Linked DNA regions of Caenorhabditis elegans. The protein of the gene in region 2 purifies or fractionates together with the protein of the main gene of each other region. This does not show direct contact. Each region holds a gene or a part of one and is shown on either strand. Other genes may lie near its edges.

What was found. Proteins that work in one complex are often made in the same cells at the same time.
Region 1: the proteins of cpn-2 (region 2) and mtl-2 fractionate together in Caenorhabditis elegans (co-fractionation; one large-scale study listed by BioGRID). This does not show direct contact.
Region 3: the proteins of cpn-2 (region 2) and hrpa-1 fractionate together in Caenorhabditis elegans (co-fractionation; one large-scale study listed by BioGRID). This does not show direct contact.

The regions. Positions count from the first base shown.
Region 1 is NC_003283.11:14,016,916-14,020,498, reverse strand, and holds mtl-2 (Metallothionein-2), read left to right. Parts: upstream 1-1,825; 5' UTR 1,826-1,879; coding exon 1,880-1,895; intron 1,896-1,952; coding exon 1,953-2,128; 3' UTR 2,129-2,229; downstream 2,230-3,583. Other genes in the region: T08G5.1 (Titin), read right to left, coding at 167-271, 318-402, 446-869, 1,144-1,212, 1,257-1,299; srh-308 (Serpentine Receptor, class H), read left to right, coding at 2,923-3,241. UniProt on the Caenorhabditis elegans protein: This protein binds cations of several transition elements.
Region 2 is NC_003280.10:335,244-340,795, forward strand, and holds cpn-2 (Transgelin), read left to right. Parts: upstream 1-2,538; 5' UTR 2,539-2,557; coding exon 2,558-2,608; intron 2,609-2,652; coding exon 2,653-2,871; intron 2,872-2,947; coding exon 2,948-3,052; intron 3,053-3,663; coding exon 3,664-3,900; 3' UTR 3,901-4,002; downstream 4,003-5,552. Other genes in the region: clc-31 (Claudin family protein), read left to right, coding at 5,296-5,552.
Region 3 is NC_003282.8:3,335,879-3,340,374, reverse strand, and holds hrpa-1 (Heterogeneous nuclear ribonucleoprotein A1), read left to right. Parts: upstream 1-1,529; 5' UTR 1,530-1,569; intron 1,570-1,830; 5' UTR 1,831-1,969; coding exon 1,970-1,996; intron 1,997-2,076; coding exon 2,077-2,815; intron 2,816-2,864; coding exon 2,865-3,142; downstream 3,143-4,496. Other genes in the region: F42A6.6 (Hikeshi-like domain-containing protein), read left to right, coding at 3,521-3,829, 4,202-4,354. UniProt on the Caenorhabditis elegans protein: This protein is a component of ribonucleosomes. Overexpression gradually increases telomere length, leading to increase lifespan.

The DNA of each region.
Region 1 (3,583 bases), on a different chromosome or scaffold from region 2:
TCTATATTTCAGATTTAGTTATTAAATTCGTTAATTTTGTGTTACTATCTATACGTGACTACATATAAAATATTCATTTGTTCTTCTTTTATAAAAGTAAAAAGGTATTTTTTGAGCTCTCAAATTCTTTAATTGATTATACAACTTTCAAAAATTAAAGCAGGAATCACATTATAATTTTTGGGATTCCCCGATATCTAAATGGTTGTTTTGCGGATATTGACTTTCCTTTCAGATGACTCGGTGGCACTGCTTTTACAAATCGATTTTTCTGGAAAATTTTGAATTATTTAGCCTATAAAATCCACAAAACTTACATCATCCGGATGGCACCTCCTGAATTTAAGACCATAGTTGATAGTAGGTGGAGGAATTGTTGGATAACGTGGGTCTTGATGTACTCTGAAAAATTTTAAATGGTTGTGTAATGAGTGTCAGAGCTCACCGAATTTTTCTGGAGTGATGTCTTGGACGATATGCAATGTTTCTGGGTTTTTGATGGTGCTTTATACTATTAAAGTTTCTTAATACAGTAACATCCTCGTTATTTTGAGTATTTCGAGAAGTTGAAGTATTTCTTTGCTTTCTCATTTTTCTTCTAACTATTCGCTTTGGCTGTTTCTTCACTTTTCTTTTCTTCTTATGTGTTTCCGTTGTGTAAATTGGACCAGGTAGAATAATCGGTGATTCAACTTCCCGAATAGTCATCACTTCGTAATTCATCATTCTATCGTCATCTTGTTCACGAGAATGATTGTCAAATAATCTTGGCTGCTCTGTAATAACATCTTCCTGAAGACGAGCTTCACTAAAGCGCCTTCTGACAGAATCAGGGCTTGTTGGCACAGAGTTGAATGGGGTCCAGTCGTCTGAAATTTTAAAATTGAATCACTTTTACGGGTAAGGCAGGATATCACGATAGTGTCTAAAAGGAGGAAGAATTTTTTCTTGTTTTCTGCCTGGAATTGTTTCAGGATTAAAATAGCAAGCCTCGAAGTTTGCCCGCTGGCCCGAAATAGCCTATTCATCAGTCAGCCGCAGAAGGGTTGTTTTTGGGGACCCCGCTTTACCGGTGTAGTATTATTTGACATTGGTAATTTTTTAATTACGGTTAAACATAAGTTAAACAATAAAATTACAAACCTGCACAAAGAGTTCCTGGGCCACATAATGTTTCATCAATATCACTTCCCCAGGCGCTATGTCTATCTTCTGAAATCTCAGTTTTCTTTTCTAAATTAAATAATATTTCAAACCTTCTACATGTTCTGGAGCGGTTCTGGAACTTTTTTGTCCCATAGAGAATACAAAAAGAGACGAAAATGGTTCAGTGGAACGAAACAAACGTGGGATGTAACCATGGAAGTGAGAATAATTGATGGAATAGCTAATGAGCTGAAGCTGAGTAGATCAGAGACTACTTTATTCTAAAAAGTACAGTAGTTGGAAAATTACATGTTTCATTTCTAATTTTCAAGGAAAAGCTAGTAATTACCGTAATCTTGTTTGTACCTGAAATTTTATGTACTGCAGGTGACCAAGTATGTTTGAGGCATGACTTCACACACCTAACTGATAAAGGCCTCTATCACAAACTAGAGTTGTGACGGAAAATTCAACTTCTCAGAATATAGCTCAAAATCTATCAAATTTTATTTTCAAAAATCCAAATAATTGTGCACGCAATGTACTTACTGCTTCATAAAGTTCAGAAGAATTGGATAAATTTGAATGAAGTTTTCAAAGCTTTTATCAGTGACTGTACATTGTGATAGGCTTGTGCTGTTATCAGCTGCCTCAAATAGGTTGTCGCTTGAAAATTTATATAAAAGGCCTACCAGCAGACATGAGAATCAAGCTTCAAAGGCTCTACTCAAAAATGGTCTGCAAGTGTGGTAAGTTGAAATTTCATTACGCTTTTAATTAATTTTGAATGAAACCCCCTTTCCCAGACTGCAAAAACCAAAATTGTTCCTGCAACACCGGAACTAAAGATTGCGATTGCTCCGACGCCAAGTGCTGTGAGCAATACTGCTGCCCAACTGCCAGTGAGAAGAAATGCTGCAAATCTGGATGTGCCGGAGGATGCAAGTGTGCCAACTGCGAATGTGCTCAGGCTGCTCATTAATTTGAAATTAATACTCTTCCCTTTGAAACAAATTCCTACTAATTGATATTGTTCGAGGTTTTTTCTTGAAAGCTGAAATAAATGTTAAATATTTATTGTAATTTCTTAGATTTTTAAACTGTCTTCCTTGTCAACGACCAGAAGCAAAAATTATGGGAATCGCGATAAAATTCAAGGAAAACTTTTGATCATCACTTTTGATCTTCACACGATTTGTTCCTTTTCAAGTAAAATATAAATCTTTTTCCGAACAGACTGAATCCATTATCAATTTTATAGACAGTGGAAAACATTTATCAAGTTAAGACAATTTTGAAAATTACGAAAAATCATTTGACCCAAATGGGTCAGGTGTTATTTCTTAATTCAAAAGATCTCAGAACCAGGAAAAAACATTTTTGTGTGGTTTGTTTTCAGCTGCTTTTCACTTAATAAATCAATTAATGCATCAACCAAATTGTTAAAAACTACAAATAGTGCGACTGAAAATTTAAAAATTGTGCCCAAACTTTTAATGAGGTTATCAATTTTCAATATCTCGAACATTTGGAAATTTTTGGAATTTTTTTGTTGGAAATTTGCTTAAAGTATTTACTAACTTTTGATCTCATATGTTTGAATGGGTTTAGATGGAAACTACCAAAGAACATGTGCAAAAGATCTCAGACGCGAAAAGCTTATCCTATTGAGTGATCAGTTTTAGAACAGGTGAAAACGTTTCCTAGCTAAATTATGAGCTTTTATCCCTTTTTAATTTCTCTCCGTGATTTACTTTATTACCTCAATACCTCAAAATGTGCACCGAGGATATTAATTTATTTGCGACTGATGAGTTCTATGCTGGAATTCTTCACGTACCTACAGCCATCGAAGTGACCGTTCAATTGTTCGGAGCATATATTATTTTAACTAAAACTCCGCGCAAAATATGTTCTGTAAAGTTCAACATGGTCTTATTGCACATTGTGGGAGCAATCGTCGATTTATATCTAAGCTTTATTGCATCTCCAATGCTAACACTACCTGTCAGTTCAGGATATCCTCTTGGATTCTCTTTAATATTAGGTATTCCAACTGATGTTCAGGTTTATCTTGGATGTGTTTTTGTTGGGGGTTAGTTTATTTTGAATTGGCTAACTAATGGTAATAGTATAATAAATATAAAACGTCTTATTGAAAACAGAAGCTTTATTATGTTTTCAGTTTCGATATGAATTAATCTAATCTCAATAACAAATTATTTGATTCCCAATTTTTTTGTGATGTCTTTGGCTTTTTATTTAAAGAAAACTTCGTGCCAAATTTTGGCAACGCACCTTTGACAACTTTCTGTCCAATTTCGGCAGTTTTCTGTCGAACCTTTGTAACTTCCGAGAGTGAGTAAGTTGTCAAGGTTTGAGAGAAAAATCCCAGAATTTTACAGTAGGTTGTCTAAGTTTGACCAAAAGTTTCCAA
Region 2 (5,552 bases):
AAAATTGGGGTATCGGAGGTTTGAAGCCTCGGCCTTCTGTACCATTGGCATCTGTCTAACCAACCTAAATGTTTTTTTCTTTTTTTTTAATTTAAGAAACAAATAATTTACCACTGAGTAAATAAAAAATTTCGAAAATCAGTTCATAAGAAATAAACCGAAAAAAAAGGTATAGAGAATTACTGAGAAACCCGTGGGAAATTTCAGAATATGGAGTACGTGTGCCAGAATATTCTAGACGTAGAAAGTATATGAAAATAGATTATGAACTCTTTCTTTTCTGGGATCAAGAATTCAAATTCGAGATGTTTCACACAAGAAGCAGCCAAGATATAGGTGGGGCCTATTTTGGATTTTTGCGTTTTCTAAATCAAATTATTTGGTAGGCAAATGAAACCGACGCTTTGAAAAAAAAAACCTAAATTTTTGAATTTTTGAATTTTTTCTTGTTTTTTGAAAGAATGTTACAAAAAAATTTTTTTTGAAAATTCTCCCAAGTATTTCAGAACAAAAAATGCTGAAATTCCCACAAACCTATAAATTCAACATTACAAATGTTTCATGTCGTGTTAATGTCAATATGTTACAACTAATTGTCTGGTGTCCTTTTCGAGTGTTGTCATAATATTTCAAATGTCAGAATGTCTCTGTTCTATTCCTTCCAAAAATGAAGAAGCTACAAAAAATAGGAGGGAGGTAAACATGGTGGGGAGAAGACTATTTGTAAACATGATTAAGCTGGGGACAGGGCAACGGATTAGACACCCTGTACGATATTTTTTTTAGTTCGGGAGACGATTATTCAACAAGACGAACAAGCTTGAAGCTATTTTTGAAATTTGTGGAGCTTTTTTTTAGTTTTGCGGTTTTTAAAGTTTCAAGATTTTTCAGATTTTCATCAAAAATCTATTTTTTGCAATGTTTGCAATGCAGCTGCGAGGAACTTTTTTGTAAAATTTTCAAACTTTTGTGAAAGGGGGCTGTTGTGTCAAATTGTAATGTCCCTGAAAAGAACGTAGAATTCTTACCAAACCAAATAATACAAATTTTTTGAAAAATTTCAATTTTATGGAATTGTCAAACTTCTCACTTCAAGTTCTAGTTAAAATTTCTATTCCCCGCCGTTTCCTATAATTCTGGCAGAATGTTCAAATAACACCACCGTTTAGTTATAATCTTCTAGTCCTTTCCACCATTCATCTCGATTCTCTTATTATTTCTTATTGCCCTAACAATCCCACATAGGTCTCCTCCACAAACTACTCTCTTTCCATAATCCCTTAATTACCTGGCCATCTTCTCTCATTTCTTCTCATATATGTACATACTCGTTTTTCCAACTTTTTTCTATTTTCTAGGTTTCAATTCATAACAGAGCTGTTTGAAAAAAAAAACTGTCTACATTTAAAAAATTGTCGCAAAAGTATTTGAATAATTTAAAAAATATTTTCATTGTAAGTATTGAAACATTTTTTTTGTAATACTTCAGTTGCATTTTTGTAAATTGCTAATAGTAAGCTTAACAAAAATTTAATATTTTCGAAAAACTTCGGACGAACCCCCACAGTATTCGAATTTTTTTCATCTTCAAGCTTCAAAAAAGCCCACATTTTGAGCACCGCATTTTGACTGGAAATTAAGAAACTTCCAAAATGTTTATTTTTTGTGTGAGATTCTTAAAATCTACTAAAAAATTAGATGTTTTGATTTTTCAAAGTATGTGGGTATGCCGCGTTTAAGCCTGAGCCTAAGCCTAAGCCTACGCCTAACCCTGATTTTAAAACAGTTTTTGTATAATATTCTGTATTTTTAATACCATGGGAATGATTTTTAATCATTTTCCCACTGGTCCTATTCCACCATTTAAGCCAATTTCTTTTTGTTCTAAGTACCTACTTTTTATCCATCTCAATGTATACATCTTCTTCTCCTCCTAACATATTCATCATGTCTTCTCTTCCCCAATCAAACCAAATCCCCCGTTCATTTATTCCTTCCTTAAAAGATGCCGTTCATCACAACATTTATACGATAAGAGAACGATATCGGCTGAGAGATAGAGAAAATATGAAGAGACGCAGACTTACGTGTATTATGTCCATCCACACACTGTCTTCCGAAATTCCACTCGCCCCCACCTTCCGCCGCTTTGTAGAAACCACTCTTCCAGAAATTTCATACATTTCGGCGGTGGTGAAAGCATTTTCGATTTCATCTTATCTTTTCTCTCAAAATTTCATTATTGATTGTATGATTTTCTTTGGTTAAATTGCCCAAAAAACATGTAGGTTTAGGCTTAGGCTTATGTTAAGGCCTAGGCTTATGCTCATGCTTATGCTTAGACTTAGGTTTAGGGCTAGGCTTAGGCTTAGGCTTATTCTCAGGCTTAAACCTACCTACCAACTACTCTGAAAAATCAAAACATCTGAGTTTTATATTTTTCGAGTAGTTTTTAAAATGAATTGTATCTATGTCAACCGCTACTTCCCCATTTTTTCTAGATTTTTCTCTTAAGAAAATAATGTTTTAAGTTTTCAGATCCAATTTGTCACAAGTTATGGCCAATCATGGTCCCAGCTATGGGCTGAGTCGGGAACTACAGAAGAAGGTATATTTTTTCAGATTTACCCCAAAAAATGCCAAAACTTTCAGAACGACGCCCGTTTTGTATTGGAGGAAGCAATCGAAGTTCTAAAATGGATTGAGAATGTAACAGGAGAGAGGTTCTCATTTGATGTGACCACTTGTGAATCATCAACTGACGTCAGTAATCTACTCAAGGATGGTGTGATGCTATGCAAGCTGATTGAGAAACTAGATCCCAGTTGTCGAGTCGTGTATAATAAGAAACCAAAAATGGCATTTCCAATGGTATGTTCTTTAATTTTTTTTTGGCTGATAGAAAACGTACTTAAAAGTTGAAATAAAACAATAGTTTTCATTGCAGATGGAAAATATTTCAAATTTCCTGGCAGCTGCCAAACAATTTGGTGTTATGGAAATTAGCTGTTTCCAGACTGTGGATTTGTATGAGAACAAACAATGCTATAAGGTGAGTTCAAGGTATTCTTAATCTTAGCCCTGGCTGGTTGAATGTTAGGCTTAGGCTGAGGCTTAGGTTCAGGCTTAGGTTCAGGCTTCGGTTCAAGCTATGGTTTTGACCTAGGTGTAGGCTTATGTTTAGGTTTTTTTGTGAACAAAATGTTAAATTTAACTTTGTAAAATGAGTCACCTGTAATAGAATAGCACCTTCAAACACTGGAACATTTAAAACATTGTTTGAAAACAAATTCAGCTATCTGGAATATGACAATGTGGTCAAGTTTTTTTTCTGGCCCATCACTCATGAAAACTTTGGGCCGCCTTTAGTTTTATTCCAAGCAAAACAGGCCGTAGGCGATCCCGTTAAAAGGTCGCAGGTCCTCCGACTCTAAGAAATGTCAAAAAATCATTCAAAACGTCAAGTGGACGTAACTCGTTTAGTTTTGATCGTAGCGGCCTCATTTATTTCGAGCACACCCCATACCGAAAGGGCTGGCGGGCCCCCCGGGCCCTATGAAAAATTTAACAAAAATTTAGAAATTGTTTTTTGAAACAGGAAAATTGTTATTTAAAATCTTTTACTACTTTATTACTAAATTTTACTTAATTCAAATGTTCCAGGTAATCGAATGTCTGCGTCTCCTCGCCGCCGTCGCTCAATCCCGTTCTTCTCACTTGGAGCATCCAGCGTGGGTGGTGAAGCTTGCCCAATCATCGCCACGTCAATTCCCGGAAGCAGTGATGAGAAGGGGTGAAATGGTGATCCCATTGCAATATGGTACAAATAAATGTGCATCACAGAAAGGAATGTCACCATATGGGTTGCCACGCCAGATTAAGCCAGATCCACATGGATAATAAATTAACTTTGTTTTTTTTTTGATTTTAAACGATTCTATGCAATTTTTGTGATTCTTCGTATTTTTTTGGATTTAATAATAATTTTGATGAAATTTCAAAAACCTCGTATGACTATTATCGAAATATTAAAGTTAAAACTGAAATCCAGTAGGAACTTGATTCTTAAGTTAATTCAGCTTTCTTCCAATTTTGTGAATTTTATTAAATCTATTAAATTCGATTTTTATCGATTTTTACATTAAAAAAAACTAAATATTCTCCAGCAATCTTAGATTTTATACCTCCTTACTAACATTTTCTTGATTCTTCAACTAGAAACTCTCCGGTCCACAACATTGCCACGTTGCTAGGCAAACCAAGAACAATAGGCAATGCTCAAAGAGCACAGCTCACTTTGAATATTTGATGAGCTTCCCGTAAAGAAGAGCCTATGGTTACCAGCCGTTATGGCAACAGGACCTCAACAAATCTCACGAAACGTCCGGGTATTTCAGTTTTCTATTGTTTTACAACTTTCTACCTTTTCCTATTTCAAACTTTTTCCACTGAATAACTTAATTTTTGAAACTCCTCTAAAATGGTTAGTGTTGTAGTTAGAGGACTCAAAATTGATTCCGAGCACTAAAAAATTGTCCTTTTTTGATTTCTAATGGTTTTGTACAATTTCAAAACATTATTATTTCTGCCAAAAAAACGAAAGTCATTAGATGGCTGAAAAAATGAGAAAAAATAGAAAATCGCCAAAATTTGTTGAAAACGGGTAATTCGTATTTGCTGAATTTAGAAAATCTAGGTTTAACCCATCAAAAACTATTAAAAAGTGGCAAAAATTCACAATTTTGAAACACCTCTAAAATGGTTATTTTTAAAGCTGGAGGACTCAAATTTGATCTCTGAACCTTAAAAAATTGTTCTTTTTTAGAACATAATAATTTTGAACATTTGTAGAAAAATTATTTGTTTTGCCAAAAAAAATGTACAGTCATTAGATGGCTGAAAAAAATTTGGGCAAAAATAAAAAGTTGTCTAATTTTGTTGAAAACGGGTAATTCGTATACGCTGAATTTAGAAAATCTAGGTTTAGCCCTTCAAAAACTATTTTAAAGCCTACGTGGAAGCCTGAAATCATTTTGGTTTAGTTTAAAAAACGCGTTTTTATAAATGTCTAAATTTCTGAATTTCTTTCGTAGTTGAAAATCGTCACAAGTAATTAGAAAATTTAGGGCGCACCGTACCGTACCCCCCGTAATTAAATTAGAGTTCCCATTTTGGGAGTGCTGCCTCAATTTATGAAATTTGGACTCCCTTTTTTCAATTTTCCAATTTTCTCAACTCCTCTCCAATATTCAAATATCTCAAAACTTTGTCGATTTCAAGATTTCCGTCTAAGAAATGGTCCGCAAATCGCACTGTGGCTACGGTCTGTTCCTGATTCTCGGCCTAATTCTGACCCTTGTCGCCATATTCACACCTGGATGGCGCAGCTACAAAGATAAGATTGAAAACTTCGACGATCTATTCATCTGGAATCATATTTTAGGCTCTGGAGCACCGGATCTTGGCCTAATTTCAAGATATTGTGGACAAGGGACTAGAGAAGTCAATCAGTACGACTGTAAGGCTTACGGGCGGTACCAACTTCCATTCGA
Region 3 (4,496 bases), on a different chromosome or scaffold from region 2:
GACTGGAATCGACTTTGTGGACAATATTTCGATGGTGAAGTACTTTCGCCCAGGTTATCTCGAGAAAATCCGCATGTATTCTTGTTATTGCTCAGCTAGCCAGGAGATGAGTGAAGAAATTGCAAATCTCGAGCAGTGGAAGCAAGCGAAACATTTTCTGTGCATTGGTGGTAGAATGAACATTCCTATTCAAAGATTTTTCCACTTTGACCAGTTCTCCATCGGTCTTCAGACTCTATCAATCGATGATGCTGTTCAGATAAGAGATGTGAGTTGGTAGTTAAAGTAGCGTTTTGTAATGTATTCTATATTCCAGATTCTCCTCAGATCGCCCAGCTTCGAGTCAGCAACTATCGATGTTCAACTACTTGAAAAAGAAGCCATTGAGAACGTCTTTACGCCGAATCACCTATTAATTTATAGAGGAAGAGAGTTCAGACCGGTGGGAACTGATTCCAGTTTTGTGATCAATATAACAAAAAACAAGCTTGAAATCCACAAGCACAAGGGAGCTAATCCACCACGTCGTAGAGACGAACGGCCAATCCACGAGCGTATACGTCAAAGGCAAGATGGATGGTGAAGTTTCAATGGTTGCTCTAATACGTTTACATGTCTATCAAACCTTTTTCTGTTACTTAAGTAAATCGTTGTTTCATATTTAACCAGTCTTACCTACGGCTGGCATATCGGACGTCCGGCGTCAGAACCTTGTGCGTCTGGTTTTAGATGTTTGAAAATTTTGGAAAATTATTAAAGTCTATTGATAACCTGTCAAAACCGGACGACCGGACGCCAAATATGACAGCCCTAGTCTTACCAGTATAATATTTTTATAAACCTAAAACAGGTATGAATATCTCTTTTTTCTGCGCAGCGCTGGGATGCTTCTGTTTCAGAAAAATCACATGGTATAAAAAATTTCCAAATTACAGTAGTCCTACCGTAATCCTGCATTATCCCACTACTGTATGTACCTTGACATTATTTTTCCTCGCCCAACTCCCAGCCCAATATATCTCTTCAACAGCTAAGAACTACATTTTTCCTAAACTACAGTAAACCAACAGTATCCCTACAGTACCACATTAATTATAAATTAAAACATTATTTTTCATAAGAAATCGTGAGAATTTCGAGAAAAATAAAGGATTCAAAGATTATTTGAACGTTTTTTTCGTGAAAAAATGTCAAAGAAATCAAAATGTTCATCTTCCTTGTGAAAAATCCGAAAAGCCATTATAAACTAGTTGATTTTCATAAAAATTTGTAGAAATATTTTTCTTAAAATTTGTAGAAGAATTTTAACGTTTTTTAAACAAAAATTCCAAAATTGGAATTTGGTATTGAAAATACTTTTTAAAAGTTATTTTTTTAATTTGTAAAAATTTAACTAAATTCAAAAAATAAAGTTTCCCTCCTTTTTTTCTTAAAGGCACACACATTTATCGACTCGGGTCTCGCCGCGAACAGACGCGACGCGACGCGGTTAGGAATGCGGCGCGTCGCGTGTAACCCTTTTCTCTGTGGTTTTCGAGAGCATTCTCTCTCGGTTTTCGTCACAAAAAGGTATGTTTTACAGGTTTTCCGCGCACTGTTTTCGCGTAATTCTTCATTTTAATTCAGATAATCTAATTGTTGTGTAGTTTTAGCTCGAATTTATCCGTAATCTTTGATTAAATACGAATAAAACTCGCTAAAATAGTCTTATTTCTCAGATATTTATCGATTTGTTATTTTCCACGAATAGTCTACTCGTGCATGGCGTCTATATTTAACTTAATAATCTATTTTTAGATTTATCTTTACTCTAACTTGTACCTATTTCAGTGATCAACACCTCTGTCACTCTTTGTGAGTAATAGCGTTCGATAGGTAGTTACACCGTGAAACTAGCCTGTCTATTTCCTACTTCATAAGCTAAGAACTACTTGTTAGCACAATCCGATCGACTACTAAGAACTAGATCATGACGGACGTGGAAATCAAGGCTGAGGTTACGTTTGTTCACTTGCTTTTAGGGTGTAGGCCACCTGATTTGGGTCCCGATCATTTAATTATCGATTTTATTTTCAGAATGGAAGCGGAGATGCCTCGCTCGAGCCAGAGAACCTTCGAAAGATTTTCGTTGGAGGACTCACGTCAAACACCACCGATGACCTGATGCGAGAGTTCTACTCACAATTCGGAGAAATCACTGATATCATCGTCATGAGAGATCCAACTACCAAGAGATCCCGCGGATTCGGATTTGTCACCTTCTCTGGCAAAACTGAAGTCGATGCTGCCATGAAACAACGCCCGCACATCATCGACGGAAAGACCGTGGACCCGAAGCGTGCCGTGCCACGTGATGATAAGAACCGCTCCGAGTCGAATGTCTCCACCAAACGCCTGTACGTCAGCGGAGTTCGTGAGGATCACACCGAGGACATGCTCACCGAGTATTTCACAAAGTATGGAACCGTCACCAAATCCGAGATTATTCTCGACAAAGCCACCCAAAAGCCAAGAGGCTTCGGATTCGTCACCTTCGATGATCATGACTCTGTGGATCAATGCGTTCTTCAAAAATCCCATATGGTCAACGGACACAGATGTGACGTGCGCAAAGGACTCTCCAAGGACGAGATGAGCAAGGCTCAGATGAACCGCGATCGTGAAACCCGTGGCGGAAGATCTCGCGATGGACAGCGTGGCGGTTACAATGGCGGTGGTGGTGGCGGCGGCGGCTGGGGAGGACCAGCTCAACGCGGCGGTCCAGGAGCATATGGTGGACCAGGAGGTGGCGGCCAAGGAGGATATGGCGGAGGTAGTTGGATTCTGGCTTGTGAATTCTCGATTCTAATATTATTAACTTTCAGATTACGGCGGTGGCTGGGGACAGCAAGGAGGCGGCGGTCAAGGCGGATGGGGAGGCCCACAACAGCAGCAAGGAGGTGGTGGCTGGGGACAGCAAGGCGGCGGCGGTCAAGGCGGATGGGGAGGACCACAGCAACAGCAGCAAGGAGGCTGGGGAGGTCCTCAACAAGGAGGCGGCGGCGGTGGCTGGGGAGGCCAAGGCCAGCAGCAAGGCGGCTGGGGAGGTCAATCCGGTGCTCAGCAGTGGGCTCATGCTCAAGGAGGAAACAGAAACTATTAAATTAATTCCTTAAGCCCCTCTAAGTGTCCAACGTGTCTGAGCTTCCCGTGCTCTCTCCTCTGTATCGATCTTCTCAACCATTTTTGCTCTGCTATCTCATCAAAATCTTCTGTACTTTTTCTTGTTGCCTTTCTCCAGAAAGTTTCGTTTATTATTCAATTTTTTACCCTGTCTTTTTTATATAATTTATTTCTAAATTCGCACAGTTGACATCCATTCAACTAGAGAATGAATGCAGAGTTTGACACCAAATTGGCTTAATTTTCAAGCTGTTTTTAACCAAAATAATAAAAAAGTCTCAACTTTACAAAAATGTTTATCTGGATCTGGACGACAGCGAGCTGAGAAATTGATATATTTTCAGAGTAAAAACTAAAAATGTCTGGAATTTTTGGAGTCATTGTCTCAGGGAGGACGCCGATCGAAGTGGTGCCGGTCTCCGATACGGAGTTCACCTGCGAAATTGTAAACGCTGACGCGATAAACCACGTGGTGGTCTTCCTTACCGGAGCTCAACCGTTTCCGGACGGAATTGGTGGCTCTGGTGATCATTTTCAGAATTTTCCGCCCAAAAAAACCCAATTTATTTCAGTTTACATCAGATGGCCCACCCAAGACGGCGGAAATTGGCATTATTTGGGATTTATTTGCAACGAGAAGCCCAGCGCGATTTATAAAGTTGCTCAGGTGTGCATTTTTGATGGAAAAATGAAAGAAAACCACCGAAATTTCGATGTTTCTCTGTCGATTTTTTTTATTTAAAAACTTAGAAATACTCTCAATTTCGCATTTTTCACCAAAAAAAAGAATCTCAACTGGTTTTTCACATAGCTTAATTTTTGAAGAAAAATCTCAACAAAACCCAGTTTTAAGTTTCAAATTCTCAAAAATTGATCTTTTTTTTCCCTTAAAAATCCAGTTTTTAGCTCCAAATTGTCATAATTTTCCAGAAAAATTTAGTTTTCGAGCTAACAACATTAAAATTTCACAGAAAATCTGAATTTCAGCCTTAGAGATCCAAATTTTTCGGCTGAAAATCACAATTTTTCCATTTTTCAGCTCCACAAATCCGACGCTTCTCACTCGTTTTCCCAATTTGACAATCAAATGCAACTATATTCCAGTGGATCAGCTCAAATTGGAATTAATGCTGAAAGTTTATCTGATATCACTGGACGGCAGGCAGCTGATGGGACACAGGCTAGCCAGCAGGTGAAAAATCTTGAAAAAAATACTTAAAACCCTGAAAAATCATGGAAAATGGCCTGAAAAGCTGGAAAAATGCGATTTTTGCCTACTTTTTCAATGAAAAATCAAAAAAAATACGAATTTGAACTAACTTTCGCTCTGAAAT